Oryzias latipes: one gene and its partners. The protein of the gene in region 1 purifies or fractionates together with the protein of each later gene. This does not show direct contact. Links are inferred from orthologs where the notes say so. Each region holds a gene or a part of one and is shown on either strand. Other genes may lie near its edges.

Region 1 (7,943 bases):
ATTTTCATTCATCGTTGTTGTTTAATGATATAACGGGACGTTTACTTCCGCATTGGTGTTCGGATCTGATGACAGGTTCATGACGTAAGGTGACAGATGAACTTCAGGGTTTGTGAATGAAAAGGAGAATAAAAGCTGCAGCGATCCTCTGCACCCAAACGTGTCTCTGAGCTCCTTATTTTACAGATGAAACTCCGCTTTACTGACACTGAACCCCGGAAAGCCGGCTCCACTGACAATAATCTGATTTTGAGTCGCCAAAGGTTCAGAATCTCTTTGTTTTAAACCTATAATCCGGAAATAAAGCTTCACAAAAAGCCGCCACATCTTTCATCTTCAAGCGATGCTCCGATAAACGCACAACTTCGGTGTTTTCTCCTTGTTAATCTATGACCTTTTGTAAAAAGAAAAAAGTCATAATTTTCCTTTTTTTTTTTTTTTGGGGTGGCCCTTAAACTCCGTCGTAAGATGGGTCTTTAGCTTTTTCTTAAAAACTTTAATCCGGCTCTCAGGCAGACTGTTCCATAAACGGGGGCCATAGTCAGTGCTTCTCCGTTTTGGTCCTTACGGTCGTAATGGTTAACAGATGAGTGCCAGAGGATCTCAGGGTCCGCGAGGGTTCATACCTTACTAAAAGATTAGATAAATAAGAAGGCGCAAGACCGTGAAGACATTTAAAAATGGTGAAGAACATCTTAAAATCAATCCTGAAGCATGTGGGGAGCCAATGCAGGGATTTTATAGTTGGGGTGATGTGAGCCCGCCTCCTGGAAGACTGGAAGACCAGCAAGCAGGCCGTTACAGTAATCAGTTTTACTCATGATAAAAGCATGCATTAGCATCTCCATATTAACAAAAGAGAGTGGTGGGCGGACCGTAGCCAGATTTCTAAGGTGATAAAAACCAGTTTTAACCACCTGTGTAAGAGTTAATGTTACAGTGTTCGATTTGTGCCACCGTGTCAGTAGGAACTGTTGGGCATTTGGTCCAGGTGGGCTCAGCTGGCTCGCCATCAGCAAACGGAATGAGAATTTTCCCAGGTGGAAAAAAACCTGGCCTGTATAAAACAGGAACAAATACTTTTTTAAAACATTGAATTATGTTTCAAAATCATTCGATGACAATTCGTTTCCTAATATGCATATTTTTCCAAAATTGAATTTATCTGATTAATTACAATCAAATGAATCACCACAACATAATTCACAATAATCAACATGCGAATGATCAATTGTTGATTATATTAGAGTACTCATAATTACATTTATACTAAAAAAAAGTTTCTTATAGTTTTCCAGTCATTTCCTTTTGTGTTTTACCTGACCACAAACCGAGATCAGCAGACGCCTGGCTGCACCAGCTGACACACACACACACACACACCCAAAACGGCGTCACTTACCAGTTAAAGCATAAGAAAAGCGCGCGTAGATTTGACGTCTCAGTGGTGCAGGGCGTTGCAGAGCAAGGACTTTGCCGTTGGCTCCCGAACGTATGTCGCCTGTCAAACATCCCCGCCACTGATTTATAATAGAACATACACGGAAGTTGTCTGTGAAATCACGTTCTGATATATCGCGATATCTCCAGAAAGTGCGTCTGTGTGTGCGTGTGTGTGCTTGTGTGTGACAGCTTAAAGGGACAGTGCAAATTAAAATTCTGAAAGGCCTTTTAATTTACTGCAGTTTCTGGAAAGTGCATTTTTGTACAACAGTTTATGTTTTTTATTTTGTGAGATTTGGAAGCACGTTTTTGTTTTTTTTCATTGTTTTCTTAAGGAATAGAATAGGATAGATTAAAATACAATAGAATGGAACTTTTATCACAGACTAGAGGGCCACATGTCAGCACAATAAACAACATGTAAGTCATACAGCAGAATAAAAATACAAAATTAAAATACAAGTAAAATGTAAATCACAAACTTAGAAACTTAAAAGCTAAATTACTTTAACACCCGCTTGGTCTTGGAACTTTGTGTTTTTAACAAGTTCTTGTGGCATTTTTCTCATTATGGAGGACTATAGAAGACTTTAAGATAAAAATTTCTTCTTCAAATCTGGATGAATAAGGACAATTCAGACGAAAAAAATGCTGTTTAAAAAAATCTCTTTTGTCCACTCCATTCTGATGCATCCACTTAAAAAACAAATACATATATTAACGTCTTTGGTTTCCTCGGCTGAGCTGGTATCTAACTCAAAACTGTACGGCTGGATACCTCTAATATTGCTCACCGTTGTTGCTGCACTGCTAATGCTAGCGTGGGGTTGTGAGGAGCTGTAAAATGGCATTAGAGAGTGTAAACAAAGGGATGATGGGATGTCAGCAGAGGCTTACAACTCGCAACTCAGAGGTGAAGTTCTGATGAACTCCTACCGCTCTGCACAAATTTTATCCTATGACAGAGGCTTATTCTATTTGGTTTTGCATAAAAACAGCCTAATCATCAATAAAGAGCACTGGGGACACTTTTACTATAGACCAAAATGGTGGGACTGGAAGGGCTTCTATACTTGTACCTACAAATTGGGGATGGCTAACAAAGAGGGTTAGAATGATTTCATTAGGATTACATCAATGCACATGTCAAAGGCACATTAAGTCAGATTTTTTTGTACATTCTACTTTTATGTTTTAGTACTTATCTCAATTTAACATTGTCCTGTCTTTTTTTTTTTCTTATATTGATGTTTTTGGTCGGATTCCAGGCAACAGGAAAAAACTTTGAGATGTAAGCAATTTTATTGAAAAATGAACAGGAAATAAATGTATTTGGTTGATTTCTGAGAGAAAATGTATATTTTTAATCTGCATTTGTTTAAAGGATTTAAAGGATTTCTCCAATAATGCAGTGTTGCACTTTGTTATAACCTCTTTCATTTGAAGTAACACATCACATGTGCTTAATTGTAAACTCAGTCGTAGTAGGTATGTCATTGTTCTTCCAAATATGTAAATTTTCCTGGAAGATCCTTCTGTAACCGTAAAACATAATGGATGTCTGTTTTTTGGAGTAAATAAATGATGTTCTTCCGTCTTCGATGAATCCACAGTGGCGCTTTCTCCCGCCATGTTTAGGGAACTGCACCACTCCTTTGAGACCGAGGGGGGCGCTGTGTACTCAGGCTTCACATAGACAGCGCTGACTGAACGGACAGAGAGCTTTGTGCCGAAAAACTAAGCCCAACCTGAATCAGACCAATGAATTAAAACGGCCCAGGTAAATACTTTGGAAGGAACGCTGGACTTGTGTCCCGGGATGCAGCATTTGATGGTTTAAAAATAGACTCATTCTGTATTTGTTAAGGTGTTTAAAATACTCCGTGGGGCAAGTTGTTGAGAGAGAGGAGGGCTCAGGGCGACGGTAGCAGCCCTGCCTCGCCTGTAAACTAGCGGTAGTACGGAGCGATGCTGGGAAGTTGAAAAAGACCTTCACAAGTAAATAACCTCAATTTTCTAACTTCTAAAAGTATCGGCATTAGTTAGAAATCACAGGAATTGAGCAGGATCGTGGCTGTTTTAAACAAAGATGAGACGATACTTCACTTCCTCTGTGATTGTATGTAGACGGAGATGTGATGGGCACCTGAACAGTTTGCGGCCTAGGCTAGCATCGGAGCGCTGCTAATGGGAATTAGCAGCTAACACGACTTCCTTCCCGCAAAATATTAGCCTGTGTTGTTAGCACTTCTAGCTAGCTAATGTAAGAATCAATATGACAGGAGCTAGACACCGGCTCCTGTTGTGTTTTTTGTAATTGCCGTTTTTATCCGGACTGCTTTTATATGTGTGTGTTTTTAAAGTGTAAGCGGAACTCCTTTCCCTATCTAAACGGAATTTCACGAACGATTTGTAAGAGCATAACTGCTGGTGTTTAGCTGGGGAAAATTAGCATGTAAGCTAATAACACACGCGATCCTTCTTCAGTGGTGCTATTTTTGGTCTAGGTGAAGGGATTTAATGTAATTTATCATTTGAATGTTGTTTTAGATCTTTTAAGAGGAAACTACAACGAGTGGCACACACTAGTCTCCCTTAAAGATGTGTTTTAGTAAGTGCGGTAGCATGGTTGTATTGAAGTAATGTTTTTTGACCTATAGAGGCCAGTAGAGACCGTGTGGACTGAGCATCAACAAGCATGGAGTTCGCGCAACAGCAGAAACCCACGGGGGACGGGAAAGTAGTCTATCCTCCGGGAGTGAAAGAGATTACGGATAAAATCAGCAATGACGAGGTGGTGAAGAGATTGAAGGTACGTTGATGAGATTTTACCCTTACGACCTATGACTTTGTCAAAAGTACTCAGCCTGTGACTCAGTGCCAAGATCCTCCTGACTTTGTGAACTTCCCATAAATTCTCTTTCTTTCTGTGTTTTGTAACGAAATCATGTTTTCAGTCTAATGTTGTGGTGCCCAGACTCTATGTTTATGTCAAGGTTTTACCTAAAACTATTCAGTGTTAGAATCCTTTCCTCACATTTATTTTTACACTGAAAGCTCAGTTCGGATGTTGAATAGCAGCAGCAACACTAATACAAATTTGTTTAGCTATTAAATAATGATAATCTTGTAATCTCATTTAAAAACGTCATTTACAATTATGCAGTTTAGCTCAGATCCAAAAACGTATGTTGTCTTCTAGGACATAGTTTCTGCAGAACGACAGTAGTTTATTGAAAATGCACAAGAACATGTTAAAAACACAATTTAACCGGTTAAGACCCCAGAACATGTAGGAATTAACCCTTTAAATATGTAGTCACAGCGCTCCAGTTTAACAAAATTAACTACTGTGGTTGTATTTTTAAAATGTGATGTCCTCGCATGTGATCCTAAGAGATTAAGTGAGAAAAGGGCAAATTGAGATTGTTCAAAACATAAACTTCAAACTGTTTTTTGACATTCATGTTATGAGGACAGGTATTATTTATGGAGAATAAAAAAGCCTATATCTTGTAACAGAGAAATTGTGTCACAGATTTAAAACTAATGGCATAAGCTGAGATCAGACTTTATTGATCCCCGGAGGGAAATTTAGTTGTTACAGCAGCCAAACAAGAAATATAACCGTTAAAAAAACAAATAGCAAGAGAAAAGACAGACGTAGTAGTGAAAAATGGTGGTAAAAGTACACGTCCTAATTGTACAGTTTAACTGCTTTTGGGACAAAGGACCTCCTGTAGCGTTCCTTTTTGTACTGAGGGTGCAGCAGTCTGCGGCTGAACAAGCTACTCGTGGTCCTCACCATCTCATACAGAAGATGAGAGGGGTTGTTCCGGATGCTGGACAGCTTGGTCAGCATCCTCCTCTCACCTACAGAGTCCTCTGAGTCCAGCCCAGGACAGAGCTAGCCCTCTTGACCAGCTCGTCCAGTTTCTTCTTGTCCCTGTCACACACCATGTCATTTATTTGAACACCTTTAAAATTGCTTAAATGATAAAACTCAGAGTGTAGCAATCATGTAACGTATGCTATAAATACATTGTTAAAGCTGACTGACTTTTCCATTGTCCGAATCAGACTGGTATGTTAGATTTTGAGAATTTATTGCTTCTTGTTGTGCTTTCTTGTTTATAGTTTAGTTAAAAAAAGTGTGTATCTTATGAAGTCCCTTCCTAGACACATTGACAAACCAAACCACCTTTTCAGTTCAAATTTTCACCATAGTATGTTAAGTTTTTAATCAACTAAAGGCTAGTTTTCATACAAACACTCACTGTAATAAGAGGCTACTTACTGGTTAATGCAGACTCTCCCTGTCTGCCTTGACTCTATGTTCTAAATCATGGGTCCCCAAATCCAGGCCTCGAGGGCCGGTATCCTACATCAACGGTCCCCAAACCCCGGGCCGGGGACCGGTACCGGTCCGTGGGTCATTTGGTACCGGTATGGTAGGGTTTCTGGAAAACCAGCAGGACACCGGCCCTCAAGGCCTGGATTTGGGGACCCCTCTTCTAAAGGGAGGGGGTGTCCCAGTTTTATTGTGGAAGAAGGGAAGTGCTATAGCCTTTCAAAAGAATTTAAAGTTTTGTAGTTGTATGCAAAATGAGAGACATTAAGAAACTTTTGTTTTTCAAAGTCCTCTTTTGATAAAATAATTCTTCATTTATCTAAAATTTATCAGTAAATTGAAGATGGAGTACCTTCAGATCAGAATATTGAAAGCAAATTCAAGACTTAGTTTTAATTTTTGCATTTTTATCCTGTCATTCTCCTATTAAAAAGAGTGCTAAAATGTGTGCATAAGTCTCTACATCCTGTCTGTGAAACCCGAAGATCTGGATTAAGAATCTAATAATGCTAGCCGTCCCTGTAAGACATATGTGCACTGTTTCATGTTAAACTCTGTACTCGACAGTTGTTCTTCTGCATTTGCATTCAGCCTGCATAGAAGCGCTTCAGTCACACATTAAACTAGGAATATGAAATGCTTTGCATTTTGCAGAATTCTCTTCTTTTTGTTTTTTTTAAAGAACGCTATGGATTTAATCAGTAATCTCTTGTGTAAATTAAACAAAGGTAGTAAACGTGATGTGAAAGGATGGTATACTTGCACTTTATAAATATAAAATAAAAACAAACTGAACTTTAATACAGCATTTGCAAGAACAAACAAGATTGATTTGGGAGCCTTTTGTTCAGTGACGTTTCTCAGTTTTTAAATGGATTATGGCATTAGAGAAGAGTCAAATGTCATTTGATTTGCCAGTGTTACATTTACAGCAGTAGAAGTTGTTTTCATAAAATGCAGACTAACTGGCAGGATCCTTATGCGACGATCTGGTTTGATGCCAAAAGTGATTTGCAGATGGAAGCGGCTACATCTGGGCTTAAAAAACAACAGCAGGCAAAGCAATAGAAGCAGACACCGTGACATAACATTATTTTGCTGAAAATTTCATTTCTGCCAGAGCAACAGGAAATGAAACATTGAAAACATAAATACACCATGTATCTACGTTATGACTCATGTCTATGTAAATGTTTGTGCACGTTTACATGAAATGCTGCGATTCATTTCTTTTGGTTATATTTGGTACCCGGTGTAGAGAACTGAAGTCCTTCAGTGCTGCTGCTAGTCATATAATAAGAGGATGGTTACATTAGTTGGTGGTGGTTGAGCAAATCAGTGTAACAAATATTTACCCACTAAGAATCGGTGGGGAATATTGAAATCTAGGCATTTATGGTGATTTTCTTTTTCCATACCTAATAGTGTGATTTCCATGTTGGAAAAATACGAAAGAAAGCTAAAAGGCATAAAATAGCTTGGATGCCTGGTATAATTTAGAATTCAGCGAGTCTGCGGCCTATGGCTGTTATTTAGCTGTATTAGTGGAAGTGTCTGTCGAGGGACTGAACGATTACAGGATTGATTCCCTAGTCTGCACTTACTTTTAAAAAGGAAGATCAAGTCTTTACGGGTTGCAAAGGGTTTGTGGGAAAATATTAGATTGGTTCTCAAGTTGCCCCTTAGTTTATTCTTTTTTTAAATTGATCTAACCTATTAACAGGCCAAATACCACCACTTCACTCATGCTTCTTACCCCCCCCCTCCAATCATACATACATCCCAGTAGGGATATGAAACCTGAGGTACCATTCATTCCTATTCCCAGAGCTATGGAGCATCTACAACACATTCCTTACAATATGATGACGCAAACATTTAGCAAATGGATTTGTCTTTTATGCTCTATGATGAAAGAATTATAGAAACCTTATAGAGTTTGGATTCTTAAATGCAAATATTATAATTTGAATCTTGTGCAAAATAAAAACCATTATTGGCTCATGTTTCTGTTTATGTTCAAATCTATACAGGTATAAAAAACTTTATTGAAAGGATGCTGATTACAGTGGCGATGATGTCAAAAGCTGAAATAATGTTTTTTAAAAGAGCAGGTAAATCTGTTGTAACAGCCTTCCCAGTGGTCTTT
Region 2 (7,185 bases), about 24 Mb from region 1:
TCTAAGAATGTTCCCTTTGGATTCTTTGGATGTGGAAAAACAACAGTGGTGAACTTTAGGAAACTAACATGTGAATGGATTTGACATTCATTCTAGTTTACTTGTTGGTTTGGACACAGATTTCATTTAACTTGATGATCTGGAAGAAATCCAAGAATGACAGCATGAAGCCAAATCGACTGTGAAATGTATCATCACCTCAAATTACTACGATATGAACCGAGTCGTCGTTGAAATGAATGGTTGCACCTCTAGTTGGATGCTATAATAATGTTGTGTAGGACTTGGTCGATTCATTGCTTACCTTTAGACCTTAAGGTATAAATGTGTTTTAATCTGAACATTTCTGTTCCTAAAGGATGCCATCCCCATGATCAGCAAGCTGCGCTACAGCCCCAACTTTGACAAGGCCTTCAAGCATGTGTTTGGAAAGACCCTAATTTGTCGCAGCATGGAAGTTTCCACCCAGCTAGCCCGAGCTTTCACCATGGACTGTATCACTCTGGAGGGTGAGCTTTCCGTGCACTTTATTCTTCTCACACATTAATGGATGCTAAAGGCTTCAGTTTTGTCTTGAGATAGAGACCGTTTTTTCAACCGTTTTGCCAATCGTGATTCTGCACGGTCGTGCTTTTGCTTCATTCTTTTTCTTCCTTCCAACCGCTGATCTTTATAACTCTTGTCTTTTTTAACCTCTGCTCTTTGGTGGGCTTCACAGTCCCTCGGTTTTCAATTTGTATGTGAAAACCATCTTGATTCACCTACAAGGGATCTGAGACGTCCATGTTTTAGGCCAGACAGAAAAATACATGTATTTTCTGATTCAGAAGAGCTTTAAAAGCAGATAAACTCTGGTGTGAGGCGAGCAGTCATGTGAAAAAGTGATCTGAAGATGGTTTTATGGCGCTTCTGCTTCTTTACAAATGTGATTTGCCTCTAGGTGATCAGGTCAGCCACCGTGGCGCTCTGACTGGAGGCTACTACGATACGAGAAAGTCTCGCCTAGAGCTCCAGAAAGACATGAGGAAGGCTGAGGAGGAGCTGACTGAGCTGGAAGCCAAGCTGAATGAAAACCTGCGCAGGAACATCGAACATATCCTTTATGAAAGGGCAGTCCGAAGCCCGTTCACACCTAACGAGCATTCACCTGCACTGGTGTGACGTCCACTGCTCTGAGTTACAGTCAGTGTTTGTTTCAGGCAGACCGGCAAACATCTGTGTAGTCATTTTAAATGAAGTTCCTGCTAACTCACAAACCTCTTCTTTAACTTCTAATGGGCTCTGTGCATTCACTAATAATTCTTATAGATTTAGCAACGTTTTTCCTGAGCAGCAAATCATTTCTGTACAAAAGAACCAAAAATGTTCCCTTTTTTACAAATGAACATTTTTACTTGTCAAGAGGTAGAATTGTGCATAACTCTTAGCACTGACTATATGTAGAAAAGCATTACACCGAACATTTGTACTTACTGTAAACATCAATACTTGTACTTCAGTATAGAAGTACCTGGTACTTCAGTACTTACCAAACAAAGGTATAATGAAGAAAACAGTTGCACTCTGTGTTGCTAGGAGGCCTCCGTGATAGACCGCCGTTCTTTGGCTCGTGTTTCCAGCTCGGTTCTCCCGCTTTAACGCTGCGGCACAACTGGATGGTGACGCTGGAGATGCTGCTCATGTTGGACGTGTAGCAAAGCTGCAGACACCTCTTTCATTGTGTTTGACAGCAAACTCCACCCTGCAGATGTGTGTGCCGGGGGCACGTCTTCAGTGTGTGAATGTGTGTGTGCATGGGTGAATGGGACTGTGACTGTAAAGTGCTTTGGGCCTTCGAAAGAAGGTAGAAAGTGCTTTATAAGCATATGCCATTTACCATTTGCTTCAAACATTTGTCTCCACTCCATCAATATCTCCATTGTTCTCAGCATGAGCTAGCAGCTAGCACTAGTTCTGCTGCTCTGGTCCCTGGGGTGGGGCAATTAGTGATTTGGTAATTTCTTGAGGGGAGGGGGGCGTCTGTTTATGTGGCTGTTGGAGCTAAAAGAGCGATGGCAAACGACACACAGAGAAGTACACACTTAATGCACTGAGGAAAACTGCTGTGAAGGTCGTACTCTGCAGTTGGGTTTTATATTGTTGCATACAGACCACCAAACAGTCACATTTGCATATTTGGCTGTAAAATTTAGGCTGTTTTTAACAACAACAAAAAACTTGCTCTGTGTTTTAGGTTTTGGATGACAAGTCCTATTAGTAAAATATAAAGTCTTTAGCTCCAGGTTAGAGAAATGGAATTTGCAGAAAAGGAAAGTTGTCCCAGCGTTTGCGTTTGTGGCGTGTGGCGGTATCTTCCATGGAAGCTCATGAGTATAGAAGGCAGAGCGTCATCACTGGGGTGATTTCTCTCAGCGGAAGCTTTATTTTGAACAGGGATTACATCCACTGGAGTTATGTCGCTGCCTCCAAGCCAGCAGGAAGAAGGCTTAAGCAGGTCAAGAAGGATTAGTGTGTCCTGGGCCATATCTGCCAGAACCATGACTCATTTCAGGACAGCTCCTGAAGGAAAAAACAAGGGGATCAGAGAGGGTTTCATTTGGGTTTCTGCATGTGTGGTGGGGTTTTCTCTTTAACTGAGCGTCAGAGGAAAGAAACCGTTCAACCTGGTTTTCTGTATGTCAATCAGGACGTAGTGATAGAAGGTCTTTTCTAGTCATGTTGAGTCTGACAGAACATTCAGCCCTCTTGCTCACAGGACTCAGCTGTCCTGTTGATAAACGGGCGATTGAGACTATCCTCCCTATTTTCAGCTAATCAGGTTTGACTCTATCCATAACAGTTGTAAGCATTGTTACTGTGAATGACTGGAGATGATTGAAATCACATGTTTTTATTTGTTGTTATTTTGCATCGTGACTCTTCTTAGATGGGATTTATTTGGTCATAATTGCTTTACAGAAGTTGCTTCTGGTCTGCTGGTTTCATTAACATTTAATTAGAAAAACAAGGAGGACAAAAGGAGGCCTTCTGTGTTTTTGCTGCTTGTCACATTTGTGTTGTTAGTGTTTGTTTTGGTCATTATTTTTCCTCTGTGGAGATGGTTTTATTTGTAGGAGTGATGTGGAGAAAGACTTCAGGGACGTGTTTGAGGAGCTGTCTGCTTCACATGACGTAGAGGCTGGAAAAACCAGTAAGCCATTAGAACCATGGAGGCGCATTAAGGGGGAGCTGGTACAGTCACATCCGTCGTTCTCCTTAACCGTTGCTCCACGCATCAACAACGAGATTGACCAGCTGATGAATCAGATGCAGCAGATCGAGACCCAGCAGAGGAAGTTTAAGGCATCCAGAGACAGTATTCTGTCTGAAATGAAGATGCTGAAGGAGAAGAGGCAGCAGTCAGAGAAGACATTTATGCCCAAGGTTGTTTCCTTCATTTATTCTTAGTGAAACTTTTGGTCAACATGCACATTGTTGCTTTGTTTTGTCATGTTCGTGCTACTCATCATTCCTGTCCTTCTGCAGCAACGCAGTCTCCAAAGTCTGGAGGCCAGCCTTCATGCCATGGAGTCCACCAGGGAGTCCTTGAAGGCTGAACTGGGTACAGATCTCCTCTCTCAGCTCAGTCTTGAGGACCAGAGGCGTGTAGACGACCTGAACGATGAGATTCGACAGTTACAACAGGTCTGCAGATGCAACCGTCCACGTCTGTGTCTTACGTTCATTGAAGGTCTTGAGAAAAATGACCACCAGACTTTTTCAGGAACAACCGTCGTGTTTGGCGATGATGGAGAGCCTGCAGTTTTGGGGATTTAGACCGCAGCGCTCTGTGATATAGTAGCCCAGTCTGTGAGCGGCAGACATGGTCTCCAGGGTTCCAGTGGGGTCTCAACAAGTCCTTTAAAAGCTCTAAACTGGCTGTTCAAATTGTTCTGTTTTATGTTGCACTTTGTTCAAACTGAATCCACCGAGAAAGTTACCTCAGCCTACTGGGTTCGCACTCCAGACTCTTTCCCTCCGTAAAATACTGTCTCGCTAACAGGTGCACTAATATTGACTTATGAGCATCAGATATAATGAGGCCGCTTTAGAAAATGCTCATCACTTCACCGACAGTCCAGAGGGGGCGTATTTGAAGCGAGCTGCTCCTCCAGCCAGTACGCCCATGAAACGGGTTCTGTGTGGCCCGAGAAGAACTGGACTTTTAACTGGAACTGGTAGAAACCAGAGAGAAAACAGTGTCTCAGTTTATTGACAGTGGGAGACTGGAGAGGGAATGCTTCCTCAAATTAATGTAGGTTTCTTATTTTTAATGCAGGATTAGTTGACTTTGCGTGTTTTCCCCGTGTACGCGTGGGTTTTCTCCTGGGTCTCCGGCTTCCTCCCGTCCAATAACATGCTTCATAGGTTAATTGGTCACTCCAAATTGTCCAAAGGTGTAAATGTGAGAGTGAATGGGCGTGTGATACGTGTGACCCTGCGACGGACTGGCGATCTGTCCAGGATGTCCCCCGCCTTCGCCCATAAGTGGCCAGGATAGGCTCCAGCAGCCCCATGACCCGAAAGGGACAATGGAAGAAGATGAATGAATGAATGAATAGTTGACTGTGTTTCAACAGCTGCTATCTGGCTCATTGCTGTACAGCTGGATAATCCCAATATTACTCCCCATAATGTCAGATTGGGGTTCGAGGGGCTGAAAGCTAGTGGGAGAGTGTAAACAGAGAGCTCTCAGCAACAGAGAGGGGAAGAGTGGGTGGGGTTTCTCCATCACTACAGTCTCGCCCACAAAAGGAGAGGATAATTTTTGATGAACATCTGCCACTCTGCAGAAACTATGTCCTAGAAACCGACAGGTTTTTAATTCTAGCTGAAAACGGCTTCATCATAATGAAAAGACCCCTGGGAGCGCTTTGAAAATGGATCAAAGTTGACCGGAGTGGGACTTTAGCAATATTGAAACATCTGGGGATTAAACGTTAGCTCCGTAAAGAGCTGCAGTGACCACCTTTGTTGCTCCGTGAAGAGCCGCAGTGACCACGTTTGTTGCTCCGTAAAGAGCCGCAGTGACCACGTTTGTTGCTCTGTGAAGAGCCGCAGTGACCACGTTTGTTGCTCCGTAAAGAGCTGCAGTGACCACCTTTGTTGCTCCGTGAAGAGCCGCAGGGACCACCTTTGTTGCTCCGCAAAGAGCCGCAGTGACCACGTTTGTTGCTCTGTAAAGAGCCGCAGTGACCACGTTTGTTGCTCCGTAAAGAGCCGCAGTGACCACCTTTGTTGCTCCGCAAAGAGCCGCAGGGACCACGTTTGTTGCTCCGTAAAGAGCCGCAGTGACCACCTTTGTTGCTCCGTAAAGAGCCGCAGTGACCACGTTTGTTGCTCCGTAAAGAGCCGCAGGGACCACCTTTGTTGCTCCGTAAAGAGCCGCAGTGACCACGTTTGTTGCTCCGTAAAGAGCCGCAGGGACCACCTTTGTTGCTCCGCAAAGAGCCGCAGTGACCACCTTTGTTGCTCCGCAAAGAGCCGCAGGGACCACCTTTGTTGCTCCGTAAAGAGCCGCAGTGACCACGTTTGTTGCTCCGTAAAGAGCCGCAGGGACCACCTTTGTTGCTCCTTAAAATGCCGCAGTGACCACCTTTGTTGCTCCGCAAAGAGCCGCAGTGACCACGTTTGTTGCTCTGTAAAGAGCCGCAGTGACCACCTTTGTTGCTCCGCAAAGAGCCGCAGGGACCACCTTTGTTGCTCCGTAAAGAGCCGCAGTGACCACCTTTGTTGCTCCGTAAAGAGCCGCAGTGACCACGTTTGTTGCTCCGTAGAGAGCCGCAGGGACCACCTTTGTTGCTCCGTAAAGAGCCGCAGTGACCACGTTTGTTGCTCCGTAAAGAGCCGCAGGGACCACCTTTGTTGCTCCGCAAAGAGCCGCAGTGACCACCTTTGTTGCTCCGTAAAGAGCCGCAGGGACCACCTTTGTTGCTCCGTAAAGAGCCGCAGTGACCACCTTTGTTGCTCCGTAAAGAGCCGCAGTGACCACCTTTGTTGCTCCGTAAAGAGCCGCAGTGACCACCTTTGTTGCTCTGTGAAGAGCCGCAGTGACCACCTTTGTTGCTCCGTAAAGAGCCGCAGTGACCACGTTTGTTGCTCCGTAAAGAGCCGCAGGGACCACCTTTGTTGCTCCGCAAAGAGCCGCAGGGACCACCTTTGTTGCTCCGCAAAGAGCCGCAGGGACCACCTTTGTTGCTCCGTAAAGAGCCGCAGGGACCACCTTTGTTGCTCCGTAAAGAGCCGCAGTGACCACCTTTGTTGCTCCGTAAAGAGCCGCAGTGACCACCTTTGTTGCTCCGTAAAGAGCCGCAGGGACCACCTTTGTTGCTCCGTAAAGAGCCGCAGTGACCACGTTTGTTGCTCCGTAAAGAGCCGCAGGGACCACCTTTGTTGCTCCGTAAAGAGCCGCAGTGACCACGTTTGTTGCTCCGTAAAGAGCCGCAGTGACCATCTTTGTTGCTCCGTAAAGAGCCGCAGGGACCACCTTTGTTGCTCCGTAAAGAGCCGCAGTGACCATCTTTGTTGCTCCGTAAAGAGCCGCAGGGACCACCTTTGTTGCTCCGTAAAGAGCCGCAGGGACCACCTTTGTTGCTCCGTAAAGAGCCGCAGTGACCACGTTTGTTGCTCCGTAAAGAGCCGCAGGGACCACCTTTGTTGCTCCGTAAAGAGCCGCAGTGACCACCTTTGTTGCTCCGTAAAGAGCCGCAGTGACCACCTTTGTTGCTCCGTGAAGAGCCGCAGTGACCACGTTTGTTGCTCCGTAAATAGCCGCAGTGACCACCTTTGTTGCTCCGTAAAGAGCCGCAGTGACCACCTTTGTTGCTCCGTGAAGAGCCGCAGTGACCACGTTTGTTGCTCCGTAAAGAGCCGCAGGGACCACCTTTGTTGCTCCGTAAAGAGCCGCAGGGACCACCTTTGTTGCTCCGTAAAGAGCCGCAGTGACCACCTTTGTTGCTCCGCAAAGAGCCGCAGGGACCACGTTTGTTGCTCCGTAAAGAGCCGCAGGGACCACCTTTGTTGCTCCGTAAAGAGCCGCAGTGACCACCTTTGTTGCTCCGTAAAGAGCCGCAGTGACCACCTTTGTTGCTCCGTAAAGAGCCGCAGTGACCACCTTTGTTGCTCCGTAAAGAGCCGCAGTGACCA
Region 3 (7,130 bases), on another chromosome or scaffold:
TCATTTTGATGTTAGAAAGCTGTTTTTCTATGTTCCATGTTTGAAATTCCACGCGTTTTTCATGAAAAGCTGTTTGTACACCGCAGTGAATTGCAGCCGCGCTCCGGAGGTTGGTGGAGAGCGGGCATAGCTGCGGGACAGTGTGGGATGAGGAGCGCGGACGGCTGCGTCTCCTCCGGCACTCCTGAGGACGCCATATCGCGGAAATCCGAGCCGATCACCGTGAGGCAGGAAAAATAACGGCTGAGTTTGAATATCAATGATCCCCTCCTCAGTCTGTTCAACCTTGACTGAACAAACCCAACCTGCTCCTGAAGTCCCTGCGGTGTGCACGCCAACTCCCACTCACACTTCAGTCTGTGCGCTGTTGTGTTCTGCCACCCCACCCCCGGAGGCCCCCCCACCCCCTCCACTCGGTGTGTCCCACATTCCCTCCTCTGCCACACTAATTGTTTTTCGTAATTATTTTCACCCTTTGTTATTGTGACAGGCGGCGGCTGCGCAGCTCCAAATGAATCGCAGCCGCCAATCCGACATACGAGTGGCAACAGGAGAACACGGATCAAGATCTGGACGCTCCTTCCGTCTCGCATCGCAACAAATCAACAGCTCATTGATGACGCTTCTAAAATCTGAGAAAATTAGCTAAAATAAAAAAAACAAAGAATTTCCTGTGAAATGATGCAAAAATCCACAATATCTTCACTAAAAGGTACTTTTGGCAATAAATTAGCAAAACAAAAAGCTGAAAAGTAAATCATTGAAACAAATTAAGGCAAAAAGCTGAAGGTTGATCTGCTGTAATTGGTAGAAAAACATCCTCCGGACATCCAAAATTACTGTCAAACATATGCAGACTGCTACCAACGTCCATTATTTCATCATCTTAGGCACATTTTTTCTGGGTTAAGTTTCACCTTTGAGATTCCACAAAAACCAATTCAGCACAAAAAAAGGGAAAAATACAGATTTAGATAAAAACTATATCTGCTCAAAACATAAATGTATAAGAAAGAAATACCCGTAGAGGCTGCATAATCAATAAAAAAAAACAGATTTGCAGATATAAATACTAACCTCCCCATACAATTATTTACTAAAATGAAGAAAAAAATTCCCTAAACAATGAAAAACGCACTAAAAATGTTAACATAGTTCTTAAAAATAAAAAGGGGAAATAGTGAAGAAGCTGAATAAATTACACTGGTTTTAGAAACCAGTGGCACAAGGACAGCACTGAGTAGCTATAAAGATTTGTCCAAATTGTTAAACTAAAATGGTATTGGTTTCTAGACCTGAGGGTTTCCTTACACTGGAAACAGAATCGAGGAGGAAAAACGTTCAAAGCTCATCTGACAAAACCTTTTCTGGATGAGAGACTAAATCGGACTCGCTGAGGTTTTGGTGATTAAGAGTGCAGAACACCACATGATGGTTTTTATGTTTCACAGCGCAAATCAGTTTCTGTGGATTTTAGCGATGCAGACATTTCTGGATTCACAAGCAACGTATGTGACTTCAAAGCTGTGATTCATTATTGTAAACTTCAGGAGGGACCTCCATTATTTAGCGTTTAATGCTTTGGTTGATTTTTCTGCTGTATATCTTAATTACCAGGTGCGTTCAGACATTCTGGAAACATTCTTTTTATACATCTGTAGCTCATCTTCATTTGCCACAGATGTAGATGTTCTCCTAAAAATGTATTTTTTAGAACCTGACTTGGGAAATGTGACACAGTGTGTGAATTTTTTTTTTAATCTACAGGATAAAAATCTTCTTTTTGGTAGATTTCTGTCTGAAATCTATCCGAACTTCAATATTTTGAAGAAACTTTGAAACTGGATGAGTTCAGACGCTCGATGACTTTGACAGGAATTAGCTACTGATTTTTATCGGCACTTTTCCTGAAGCAATATGAGATTGCTGTTCCTAGAGGATGGATGTAATTTATTCAGAGGAGAAATTAAACTGTTCACACAGTCGCTTTTCCTGGATGAACACGGGGAAAAGCTGCAGACGTTAACGTGAGGGTCAAAGACGGGGGAGAACGCCACAAGTGTGGCAGATGTTCAAATGGGTTCCTTTTGACAGTGCAGTTCAGTCCACATGAGCAGGAAAGGGTCACTTAGGCAGGATTACACAAATTATGTTTTAGATTAGATGTGAATAGATGAATTCCTCACAAGCTGCAACAGAAGACACAAACACTTGCAATCTTGACACACTTTTAACCACCACCAATCAATGTAGTTTTCCTATTTTATATATATATATATATATATATATATATATATATATATATATATATATATATATAGTAGCTATATGTGTTTTTCTGACAAAATTGTATCCTGTTGTTCTGTTAGATCTCATAATAAAACCCCTACATGTTTCTTTTTGTTAATTTTTACAATCATTTTTGGAATTACATGCTTTCAAATTGATTTTTTTTTTTTTTTAATTTTAGTAAGAACACATCTTTTTGTGAGTGTTAGAGATGCTATTGGGTAAGACATCCGTCCATGGGGCCCTAATACGTTTCCCTAACAAAGTTAATTCAAGCAACACCCCTGAAAACGAGTACAAAATTCAAAATGTTTCTCTAGTGTTCAGTTTCAGGAAATGTTTATCTTTAAATGCTAAAAGTGTATTTTGCTCTCATGCATGGTTACCCTGCTCCGTAGGTAGTCTGCCAAGTTCTTCCGTGTGAAGTTTGCTGCTGCAGATGGACTCAGTTCGTAACCTTTAGGGGAGAAAAAGTTTCATCAATGACTTGTTCTGATCCCCTGATGAACCACAGACAGCTGCTCTGTGTAGTTTCCATCCTACCGTTCCTCATTTTGTAGAGCTGGACATTCTTCTGGATGTACTCAGCAAACTGCACCGTGTCTCCTGCTTCTCCCACGCACAACAGCAGGATCTTCTCGCTCAGTTTGAACATTTTATCATAATCTGGTGGATCAAAAAAAAAAACACCTTAGAACTTTCACTTTCACAGTTAGCCTGCATGAGGCTGCATAATCTGCTAATTTTAGAACAAAACCAATTATACAGAAAAACACCAAAAACTCAAATCGGGAGCAAAACTGCACCGATTTTTAAGCAAATATCCGCAAAAATAATTTAAATCGAACGCAGATTAGTTTCATTGGTTCGATTATTTGATATAGTGTGGCCAAGTATAAGAAACCAACAACAAATTAACTGTAAATTCGGAAATAAAAGCTTGATTTAACCAGATAAAATCTCAAAACGCTTTGAACTTTACCCCCCTAAATCTAAAATAAAAATCGGCGGAGCGGCTAATGCTACAGCTAACGACGAGCTACTTTACCGTGTTTCATTTGGATTATGCTGCTGGCGGCCACATTATCGGCGGCGACGAGAACAAAATCTGGTCCCTGGATTCCGATTAAATATTCCATCGTGAAAAACGCGAATAAACAAAAAAATGTAAGAATAATTCGAGGAAGCAGCCGCGGACAGCCGGGTCTGCTCAGAATATTACACAGCAAAAGTTCAGCTAGCTGCCTGTCGCATACTGGTGACGTCAAACCGCGCGACTTGGGCGGGCGATTTGAAACGCGGGAGTGTTTTTGTTGTGTGTCACCGAGCGGAGGGCGTCCGTCATCGGGGGAATTTTGAGGTTACAGCCAAGCTGTGTTGACCATGAAGGAAGGGGAGACTCACAGCGTGATGGTGGAGTCCAACCGACACATAGACCCGCCGCGGAGGCGTTCGCCGCGGCTAAGTTCTACCCTGCAACCGCCGGGGAAGATTGACACAAACATGGCCGCGCTGGAGGCCGTCCCGGTGAAACGGTCCATCACTCTAAGGAAAATAGCTCCGAGAAAAACCGTTACCTCCGCGGAGCAGGACAAGGAGAACACACCACGGCGAACGAGCAACAGACTAGGGCAGAAAAAAGAGGTGTCCACTCCTGACTTGGTCCCAGACCGCAGGGCCTCCGCCATCTCTTCGGCTAAGAAGAAGAAACAGGCCTCGATGCCGTCCCCGATCTTGCCTTCCTCCCCGCCGACCTCAAACCCCGCAGAAAAGCCGCCAGCGACCCCGGAGGACGCAGAATGGGCGCGAAAGGTGCGCCGCTCCTACAGCAGACTGAGCGACAAGTCCCTCCACAGCCCGGACTCTCGCGATACTTTGTTCGGCTTCCAGCATCTGCAGACACCGGAGGTGAACCGGGCGGCAGGGCAGTCCAGGAGCGCTCTGGAGCTTTCCTCCATTTCTGCCCTGAACTCTTTCACGTCTCTGCTCGATACCGACGCCGGCGGTGCGGCCGAACCGGACCCGAACATCCCTGGAGTGGCTGTGGTGAAGGAGAGGAAGAGGAGGCGGAAGAAGGTGGCGCCGATCGACGGCGTGGAGCTGGACGTTCTGGTCGCCCAGATGAACGCGGAGTTCCAGGAGGCGGAGGAGTTTGAGCTGGTGGTGGAGTAGAAACTGGCTCTACTCAAGCCCAGGGGAAGCTTCTCAAGGACTGTGATAAAAATAATTCAAGAAAATGTTAAAAATGTCCAGATATTTTTATTCCTTCACTTGGTGTGAAATAGTTTTTAAATACATTTTCAGTATCACATTTGCTAGTCGTTTGTAACTTCAGTTTTTTTGGTTTATTTAAACCGGACTTTATCCTTTGGCAGAATTTAAGTGCTAAAACCGTTTACTGAGGAGCATTTCCCCAAGAATTACGTTTGGAGCTAAAAGGCTTTTATTCTGAAATGAAGCTTGAAAGCTTTTATGCAAAAGTCTGGAGATAAAAAGCTTTGAGTCGTAAAATTGGTGCTGAACAGCTCTTACTTTGAAGTTTGAAGATAAAAAGCTTTTATTCTGACGATTGGACTTTAGAAACATTTATCCTAAAGGTTTTGACTGGAGACGCTTTTATTCTGCAGTTTGGATTCTCTTTTTTTTTTAACTTTCCCAAATGTTTTTAGAGAAAAATAAAGTACATGGCATCTGTAACCAGCACTTTTTCCTCTTTAATTTTGTTTTTTCTTTCTAGTTTAAGAGAAATCCATTTAAGGTTGTTTATATCTTATATGTGTCTTTTAAATACATTTCTTCTGTTCTGTGTATTTGAATAAAAGCAAACATCTTTTTTTAAACATACACTTTATTTTGTTTACCCTTATTTGTACAGTTAAAGAGTTTTAAATTATATTAAACAACAATTTTTTAGAACTTTGCAGTGAAATATCAACTAGCTGCAGAAGGAGATGACACAGGAAATATGAACAAATAAACTATAACATAGCTAAAGAATTCAACTGAAAAGCCTTGAATGGCCTTTCATCAGATCCTGTCTCAAACTGTTTTTGTGAAGCTCTGAAATTGATCAGTACTGTAAATATCCTACTCTATGTTTAATTTAACCTTATGGCAATCAGAGCGAGCATGAAAACCCGTTTTCTAACTGTACATATGACAAAAAAAAAACTTTGAATCCTTTCAATTAAAAAAACTGAGGGTGAAAGGTCAAAAGCAACTGTAACCCTATAACCAATCAAAATCGTTTTTTTGCATAATATCCAACTAAATTATACAGTTTTGCTTATAGCAGCAAAAGTCTAGAATCAGGACTTTTATTTCAAGCGAAAAAATAAAACCAAATGCATCAAATGAATTTAGATGTACAGTCACAAAATGATCAGATGATAAAGAAATATGTAAATCTTACTAAGAGAAAATTAAGATAAACACGTAAATGCTCACACAGAAAAAAATGCTTTTTTTCATCTGCTCCTGTTTACAAAGAAAAAATCTGGATTGGAGTTTTCAGGTGACGCAAAGACTGATGGTTTTTGGGGGTTTTTCAGGCAGCTTTTAAAATTTTGAGCCCTGAAAGTCACAAACACGAAGTGACAAAATATAGTAAAAATCACAAGTGATTGACAGATCTATCAAATATTTTGAACAAACGTTTCTCTTTTCATCAATTCCCGGCTTTTATCATCTGCTGTTTGTGACTTTCAGACACTTGAAGACCGTCCAGTTCCCACACCGCTGTGGTTGCAGAGGTGCTGCTGGGACGGCTCAGCCGGTCGAATCAATGAGAACAAAACTGTTGACTGGAAACTGAATCAGGTCAAAACACCAGAGTGTCACTGTTCCATGAGTTTGTGTCTTTTTGTGTGTACAGGCTTCACAAAGCATTCTAACTAGCCCCCGCTCTCTCCAGCGATGACAAACTGCTGACTTAATGAGAGTGCAGAAGTTTTTTCCTCCCTCTTAGGTCTCTGAGGAGAGCAGGGTGTCATCCAGACTAACAAGACTCATCTCACTAACCGAAGCTCCTCGGATCAGCTGTCAAGGTGTGAAATGCCTGCTTTTTAATGACGTGTTAATAGCTTCGCAGCGGGATTGATGTCAAATCCATCAAAACCGAGCTGTTGCCGACATGTCAATCGCTGAAGCCAGCTCTTCCTTGCCGTGTTGCACTTGTCCGGCCTTCGCTTCGGCGTTTCTGATGTAGTATGATGCCGTTTGCGGGTCACGAACTCTAGGTCTCACCTAGAGTGTCACCTTTGACACGAACTTCAACCCAACAACAATCTTGACAAGGTCTCCAGGAACAATTAAAAATATACAGGAATTTGACTCCCCGCCTGCGAACTTGACTTTACAATCATTTTTTAGCTTTGACACTCTAAGTGAAGCATCGATAGGAGCAGATGCCCAGACCATAATAGAGCCTCCTCCGTGTTTCACAGTAGAGTCAGTCTTCAGAACAACAAGAAGATGTTTCCAGTTTTGTGTCACCTGTCCAAAGAAATTCTCCTGGGTACATACTGACTTATAGATATGCATTGTGGAAAAATATACCGTAATTTATTTTTCCAATAGTTGTGCTCTTTTTGGTAATTTCCACAAACCCCACTTTGGATCAAACAACTCCCAATGATCTGATTCAACACTGATGAACTTTGACCTTAGAATGAATCTGTAAGGGCTTTGATGGTCATTCTAAACCTTCTGGTTTTTGTCCGGATTTTTTTCCTCAGTTTCCTCTTGCAATCCTGTTCGTGGAGTTTATCTTCACCCCCGTGGACCCCAGCCTTCTGAATAATCTGAGCAGCTGCAGTCACAGCAACCTCAAGTTGTTTGTG
Region 4 (7,185 bases), on another chromosome or scaffold:
CTTCCTCTCGACTACCTCGAGGTGAAAGTGATGACACAGATGAAAGATAAATGATTTGAAGTTTTTTGTCCATATCAATATTGATGAACAACAAATATACATTCATTTGGGTTTTCAATGCTATATTTTTGTTAAAGGTGAAACCGACAGATGAAAAACTCAGAGAACTGCGAGGGGCAAAGCTGGTGATTGATGTGATTCGCTACGAGCCGCCCCACATCAAGAAAGCTCTCCAGTACGCCTGTGGCAATGCTCTTGTATGTGATAATGTAGAAGATGCACGAAGAATCGCTTTCGGAGGCCCTTACAGACACAAGGTACTTTACATGAGAAGAAATGATTATGCCTATGGAATTTTTCCCACAGGTTTAATGTTCAGGTTCACTGTTTGTCGATGACTCTCAATTCTATCTGTCTGCCAAACCTAATTCCATACTTCCACCCCTCTTTCTTACCAACTGCCAATCTCACACCTTCAAACCACTAAACAGTGATAAAACTGAGCTCTTGCTCATTGAAATCCCATCTATTTCCTCCAAAACAAAGTTTTTTCTCAGAATTCTGATGGTTCTTCATTCTCCCTTCTCTTTGGGTGAAGTTTAGTTGAAGTTTTGTTCTTGACATTACGTTATCTTTCCATTCTCACATGAGCAACGTCACTCGGACAGGTTATTTCCACACATGTAATATCAATGTCTCAACCTTGCTACTTCCCATCGTGAGTTTTGTAAGTCCCCCATCTTCCCCAAAAATCTCTCCATAAACTCCAGCTGGTGTAGAACTCAGTAATGTATATCACAACAATAAACCCTCCTTTTCACTGCTTCATCTGTTCGACATCATCTGCTTTGGCTCCCAGTTTTTCAAAGAAAAGAATATAAAATCCTACTCCTCAACATCCCACTCTTCCAAACCCTTTAGAATTTCCTCCTCATTTCCATTCCCTCCTGTTTGTCTCAGGTACTCCGCCTCCATCACCTCACTGTTCCCTCTGCCCCCCTCAGAGCCTTCAGTTCTTCTGCTCTTTAAATCTTGAAGTCCAGAACATGATTCAGTTTTACTTCAAGTTGAAGTCTCAAACTCCCCCATTCCAGTTTTCTCTCTGTGATTTGATCTGCACCGTCTTTGCTTTGTTTTGTGCCGAATTTTATTGTGTGTTGTACGTGTTCATACTCTTTATGGTATCCTTGGGCATTTTAAAATCTGCTTTTGAGTATAATAAATTATAATAATAACTAAAGTTGGTCCATCTGAGGATCCATTTGTGAAGACTGCTTTTCTCCTTTTGTCTACTCCTTCCAGACCGTCGCTCTGGATGGAACTCTGTTCCAGAAGTCTGGAGTCATCTCTGGAGGAGCGAGCGACCTGAAAGCCAAGGCCAGACGCTGGGATGAGAAGGCAGTCGATAAACTCAAAGAGAAAAAGGAAAAACTTACGGAAGAGCTTAAGGTTAACTTTTAGTCCTGCAAGTTTTTATGTTTGATTCCGGGTGTTTTGGGTGTATTGATCCAGCTGTGAACAGCTGTTGGACGTTCTCACAGACTTCAGTTTGTCAAACTTTAGATCTCATCTTTCTGTAGGAGCAAATGAAAGCAAAAAGGAAGGAGGCAGAGCTGCGACAGGTGCAGTCTCAAGCTCACGGGCTGCAGATGAGGCTGAAGTACTCTCAGAGTGATCTGGAACAGACGAAAACTCGACACCTCTCCCTCAACATGCAGGTACACTCTGGTAGTGATAAAGTTTGCATTGTTTGCACGTTTACTATTGGTGTTGCATCAAACTCTCTTTTTTTTGTGTGTCCTGCAGGAAAAGTCTAAGCTAGAGAGCGAGCTTGCAAACTTCGGCCCTCGCATCAATGACATTAAGAGGATAATCCAGTCCCGTGAGCGTGAAATCACAGACCTCCGCGATCGGATGAACCTGGTAAGGCTAAGAGACTGAAGTTCACTCAGAAATCCTTTTGGAAACATGCAGAGCACCGACTTCTTTGTCTTTGATTCTCAGGTGGAAGACGAGGTGTTTATTGAGTTCTGCAAAGAGATTGGAGTGAGGAACATCAGAGAATTTGAGGAGGAGAAAGTAAAGAGGCAGAATGAGATTGCCAAGAAACGGTGAGTTCTGTTGTCCCGTCAGTTCTGTGGATGATCAGCTGTCCTGATTCCTTCTTTTAATCTGACACTTTTATTCTTCAGTCTTGAGTTTGAGACCCAGAAAACTCGGCTGGGCATCCAGGTGGACTATGAGAAGAACCAGCTGAAGGAAGATCAAGAGAAGGTCATGATGTGGGAGCAGACTGTTAAGAAGGATGAAGCGGAAATAGAGCGACTAAAGAAGGTAGCAATCTTTAGTAAAAAGTTGAAATTGTCATTTATTCTGCTAATAGATTCATTTGAACTTAAATGTGAAATTGTTTTGTGTGATTTGTTTTCAGGAGGAGCACAGGCACATGAAAATCATCGATGAGACAATGGCTCAGCTACAGGATCTGAAAAACCAGCACCTCACCAAGAAATCTGAAGTCAACGATAAAAACCATGAAATGGAAGAAATTCGCAAAAAACTTGGAGGCGCTAACAAGTTTGTAGCTAGATTTAGCATTTCCTCAGTGTGAGAATGTTATTTTGTATTGCACCACAAACCTTTTCTTTTTGTTTCCAGAGAGTTGACCCAGCTCCAAAAGGAGGTGACAGCCATCGAGACCAAACTGGAGCAGAAGCGCAGCGACCGCCACAACCTGCTGCAGGCCTGCAAAATGCAGGACATCAGGTTGCCCCTTCGCTCAGGAACTATGGATGACATCAGCCAGGGAGAGGTACACGGACATGGTCTTCATTCTGTCACTTTAACTGGATTTGAGAAAGAGACGGGAAAACATTGTTTTTGCTCTGCGGCTGCAGGGAAGCTCTCAGACCGACGAGTCTAGCAGTCAGAGGACATCGAGCAGCGTTCTGGCTAAAGAAGCTCTTATTGAGATCGATTACAGCAGCCTGTCTGAAGACCTTAAGGTAAAACGTCTAAACAGTGTGTCTGTGTGGAGCCAAGACACTCATTCTCCATGCCAGCACATTAAATCTTATTTATTTGTTTATGGTGATTCTTTTTGTAAATTTCACATAAACACGCATCCTTGCACCCCGTAGGATGCTCTGTCAGAAGAGGAGATCAAGGCGGAGACAAACACACTCCAGCAGCGTCTGAATGAACAGCAAAGCATCCTGCAGAGGATCAGTGCTCCCAACATGAAGGCCATGGAAAAGCTTGAGAGTGTCAGGGACAAGTTCCAGGAGACCAGTGATGGTGAGAGGGAGTTGTCAGATTTTAGACTGTTGTCAAATAACTTATGGGAAAGGGGATACATTTGACTCATTTTGTTGTTTCTTCTTCAGAGTTTGAAGCTGCTCGTAAGAGGGCTAAGAAAGCTAAGCAGGCCTTTGAGCAAATCAAGAAGGAGAGGTTCGATCGCTTTAACACTTGCTTTGAGTCCGTGGCCACCAACATTGATGAGATTTACAAGGCACTGTCTCGCAACAGCAGCGCCCAGGCAAGTTTCCTTAGAGCACGCAATACATGATTCCACTCGTACAATACTTATACTCGTAAAAAATACTTGTAAAACAACGTTTTTTCCTAAATCTTCCCCTGTAGGCTTTCCTGGGCCCAGAAAACCCAGAAGAACCGTATCTGGACGGCATCAATTATAACTGTGTGGCTCCAGGAAAAAGGTTCAGACCCATGGATAATTTGTCTGGAGGAGAGAAGACTGTTGCTGCTCTGGCTCTGCTGTTTGCTATTCACAGGTGATTGAAATTGAGAATCCAGAAACACAGAACATGTGTCATCCTCTTGTAAAACAATAATCCCCTTTTGGACGTCCTTCCCTCGTGTCTGCAGCTACAAACCGGCCCCCTTCTTTGTCCTGGATGAGATTGATGCCGCTCTGGACAACACTAATATTGGCAAGGTCTGTTCATGTTTGATTCACTGCTTTCTGCTTCTTATTCAGTGTTGTTTCTCTTGAAACTTTTCATTCTTGTTGCTCATCTTGAAGCTGGGATTTCTTTTTATCCTTAAAGGTGGCAAATTACATCAAAGACCAGTCTGTGCAGAACTTCCAGGCCATCGTCATTTCTCTGAAGGAGGAGTTCTACACTAAGGCAGATTCTCTCATTGGTGTCTATCCAGAGGTGCGGTTTTTTATCATTACTTTTCAAATAACTAATGCAAATAGATGAGTGCCGTAGAGCAGTGCTCCCCAACCTTTTTCAGGCCACGGACCAGTTTGATATCAGAAAATATTCTCACGGACTGGCCTGTAGGAGGCTGAAGTAGTATCCAATATTTTCTTAGCCTCCAGTTTCCCTCAATTTTTGAGGGTAAATTTTATCTTTATCCTTTGTAAAATATCTGCAGCTGGTTTCAACTTTAGCCAGTAGCCGATGGCCTTTTGAGATGTGATCGAGCGACTTGAATTACGCTAAGAATGAGTCGGATGTGGTTGGGAGAATCCAGTAGTTTTCCAAAATAAAAATTTCTGTAGAATCATATTATAAACAAAGCAGATAAAAATCATAAGTTGTTTATTTTGTTCTCTCTCTGCGGCCCGGTACCAACTGTCCCATGGACCGGTACCGGCCAGCGGCTCAGGGGTTGGGGACCACTGTCACAGAATGATTATTTTAGAGGCACTGCATTAAGCAGAGTTAATTGCTGTTACCTTAGACTAAAACCACAAATTACATTTTCTGTCTGTTCACAGCAAGGAGACTGCGTCATCAGCAAGGTGCTCACCTTTGACCTCTCCCAGTATCAGGATGCCAATCCCAATCCAAATGAATAATTCAGGCTTCTCTATGTAACAATTTTGAAAGTTGGATGTTTTGCTCTGAGGTCAAATCATGTACTGGATTTCTTTTCCTGTTTTTTTTCTTCCTTTTCTGTGTTTTTTTTTATATATGCTAGTGTGATAAACGTGTCTTTTTATTGTAGGTATTTTCTTCGTAGGCAGTAAAAATCAACATGTACATACATTATCTTAAAGCAGCCCTTCTTCAATTCGGCCATAATGGTTTAACCAAAAGTTATCATGAAGTGAAATCCAGCTCCAGAGTTCTGTGGTTAACACGTTTGCAGACTTTTATACGGCTTATGGCGCCGAATTTCAGTGATGCTCCTGAAATCTCCTCTATGTTCTTGTTTATACCAGCAGGCATTTACATTTCATGTGTGCTATTTTTTTTCTAGTGCAGCAGAAACATTCCCTTGTGATAATGAAATAAACATTTAATTAGCTTCAGCTGGCAGCCCTTGAATTAGATAACAAAGCTTAGCAAATCTGCATAAAGCAGACATTAAATATGGAGAGAATCTTCCAGCTGGACGATTACCACAAGTCTTGTTTGTGTTTGAGGAACAGCGAGTCAGCTTTTGATAAACAAACATGTCTGCTTTGATTGATTGCTTCAATAAATATAATTTGAATAATTTAACCTTGTTTTCGTGTATCTGTTACTGCATTACAATTTAATTTAGAAGGGGAAGTCTCATTAGGTTTTATTCATAAAGAACACACAAACTTGTTTTTTGTTTTATGTTTTGCGTGTGAAAGCGCAAAAGTGACATCAAATGGCACAAAGTGAGCCTTTATTAGGAGGAACTGCTCAAAGCTAGCAGTATTTCCAGCCAAACGGGCACAGTGGCAGACAGAAAAAAACGACAAAAGCCCTGCTAACTGGTCAGCATTTCAGTACCAAAGATGAAATGAGTGCAAAACATTTTTCTCAGGCTACTATAAACAACTTTATTTGCTCATATTACATAAAAATTACTAGTTTTCTGCAGAGGAAACAAATTTCAAGTTGAAAACATCCTAACATAAGCACCACGTCCCCTCTTAGATTTCTTCCACATTCATCGTAAAACTTTTCCTCAAAGTGCAGCTCATTACAAGTTGCTGACTTTTGTAGAAACACTCTAAGTAGACATTTCTTCACTGTCCTGCCTCCCTCCCTGAGTCTTCAGTAAGACGCCGTTTTCTCATAATTGTCTCTTCAGTGGAATGAATAAACCTAAATGTTTACTCCAAGAATAAAGGTATAGTTAAGCTCTCAAAATCAGAAGGAAGCTTTATCAAATTTCTACTTTATTGAGCTTCTCCCATGTTTGTCCATCTGTCTTTCAGCCTTGAGCCAGGCTAACGAATACAGACGAGCAATGGGACATCAAGCTTCGTAATGTTATGAGTAGAACTGTCATCAATTCAACCACACTAACATAACCAGCCTCTAAACTGCAGAATCTGCGTCTGACTTTTTCTGGCAAGCAGTTGTGGGAATTGGACGTTTCTTTCTCCGAACAGCCGGATCCGGCGGACCTGTGTGTTGTGCAGCAGCAGCAGGTGCTGTGGGGGGGGCAGGGACAGGACGTCTCTTTTTCTTGGAGCGTTCCATGACGACGTCCTGAGCTGTCCCTTCCATTTCATCTGCAGCCATCTCTTTCTTTGTTACAGAATCAAAGCTTGGGTTTCTGGCCAAGGAGTCAGCACCTCCTTTTACAAAAACCTGGGGGAAAGCAGGCAAACAACACTGGGATTCACACCTTTTTCTTCTTTTCAAATAGTAAATTAAGCTCAAACTCCTCCCACAAATGTCAAAATAAGAAACAGAAGTGGGAAAAAATTCACCTCCTGGAAGAGTTGATCAGCTGCTGTACTGGAGCTTGGATTCTGGGTGTCTCCGTAGCTGTGATCATAAGGAAACTGCGACGAAATCACACTCATGAGTTTGCCATTTTAGTTCCATAGAGAAATCAATCTGCTTTTTTGTTTGTTTTTTGTACGTTTACCTGTGTTCTGTCTGAGCTGACAGGAAATCTCCAGGAGCGTCTAATGTCTGAAAAAGGAAAACAAAAATGTGAATACGATTTTTAAAATAATAAGAGATTCTTTATACAAACATTTGGTTTCATTTTACTTTTTAGGTCCATTTGTCTTTACAGAATCTACATCTTAATATTCTGTGAGACTTTATTAAAGAAATTCATGAGTGGAGTCCAAAAATAAAAAGCAGAAAACTGATGTTTACCGGTACATCAATTTTATAGAAGTGATCATAATGTTTCAGCGTGTTTCTGAGTCACACCTGGCTCTGTATCCTCATACGGATTGTAGAACTCTTCTGGACTGCCTTC

The links.
Region 2: the proteins of pds5a (region 1) and smc3 purify together in Homo sapiens (affinity purification with western blotting; 8 studies listed by BioGRID and IntAct, with this or other methods). This does not show direct contact. The link is inferred for Oryzias latipes from reciprocal best matches to the Homo sapiens genes PDS5A and SMC3.
Region 3: the proteins of pds5a (region 1) and cdca5 purify together in Homo sapiens (affinity purification with mass spectrometry; 4 studies listed by BioGRID and IntAct, with this or other methods). This does not show direct contact. The link is inferred for Oryzias latipes from reciprocal best matches to the Homo sapiens genes PDS5A and CDCA5.
Region 4: the proteins of pds5a (region 1) and smc1a purify together in Homo sapiens (co-immunoprecipitation; 8 studies listed by BioGRID and IntAct, with this or other methods). This does not show direct contact. The link is inferred for Oryzias latipes from reciprocal best matches to the Homo sapiens genes PDS5A and SMC1A.

Annotation. Positions count from the first base shown.
Region 1 is NC_019859.2:13,081,411-13,089,353, reverse strand, and holds the start of pds5a (sister chromatid cohesion protein PDS5 homolog A), read left to right. Parts: upstream 1-3,094; 5' UTR 3,095-3,223; intron 3,224-3,252; exon of another isoform or gene 3,253-3,441; intron 3,442-3,788; exon of another isoform or gene 3,789-3,807; intron 3,808-3,881; exon of another isoform or gene 3,882-3,898; intron 3,899-4,103; 5' UTR 4,104-4,141; coding exon 4,142-4,255; intron 4,256-7,943. UniProt on the Homo sapiens protein: Probable regulator of sister chromatid cohesion in mitosis which may stabilize cohesin complex association with chromatin. May couple sister chromatid cohesion during mitosis to DNA replication.
Region 2 is NC_019859.2:36,691,877-36,699,061, forward strand, and holds part of smc3 (structural maintenance of chromosomes protein 3), read left to right. Parts: intron 1-358; coding exon 359-509; intron 510-940; coding exon 941-1,093; intron 1,094-3,271; coding exon 3,272-3,423; intron 3,424-3,525; coding exon 3,526-3,684; intron 3,685-7,185. UniProt on the Homo sapiens protein: Central component of cohesin, a complex required for chromosome cohesion during the cell cycle. The cohesin complex may form a large proteinaceous ring within which sister chromatids can be trapped.
Region 3 is NC_019869.2:20,007,325-20,014,454, forward strand, and holds cdca5 (sororin), read left to right. Parts: upstream 1-3,553; 5' UTR 3,554-3,672; coding exon 3,673-4,461; 3' UTR 4,462-5,133; downstream 5,134-7,130. Other genes in the region: psmb2 (proteasome subunit beta type-2), read right to left, coding at 2,676-2,746, 2,833-2,955, 3,338-3,428. UniProt on the Homo sapiens protein: Regulator of sister chromatid cohesion in mitosis stabilizing cohesin complex association with chromatin. May antagonize the action of WAPL which stimulates cohesin dissociation from chromatin.
Region 4 is NC_019865.2:11,929,223-11,936,407, forward strand, and holds the end of smc1a (structural maintenance of chromosomes protein 1A), read left to right. Parts: coding exon 1-21; intron 22-137; coding exon 138-317; intron 318-1,302; coding exon 1,303-1,449; intron 1,450-1,580; coding exon 1,581-1,718; intron 1,719-1,806; coding exon 1,807-1,923; intron 1,924-2,004; coding exon 2,005-2,111; intron 2,112-2,192; coding exon 2,193-2,334; intron 2,335-2,431; coding exon 2,432-2,577; intron 2,578-2,658; coding exon 2,659-2,812; intron 2,813-2,897; coding exon 2,898-3,005; intron 3,006-3,140; coding exon 3,141-3,297; intron 3,298-3,386; coding exon 3,387-3,541; intron 3,542-3,645; coding exon 3,646-3,797; intron 3,798-3,891; coding exon 3,892-3,961; intron 3,962-4,073; coding exon 4,074-4,184; intron 4,185-4,756; coding exon 4,757-4,837; 3' UTR 4,838-5,486; downstream 5,487-7,185. Other genes in the region: dihydropyridine-sensitive L-type skeletal muscle calcium channel subunit alpha-1, read right to left, coding at 6,282-6,557, 6,680-6,754, 6,835-6,887, 7,137-7,185. UniProt on the Homo sapiens protein: Involved in chromosome cohesion during cell cycle and in DNA repair. Central component of cohesin complex. The cohesin complex is required for the cohesion of sister chromatids after DNA replication.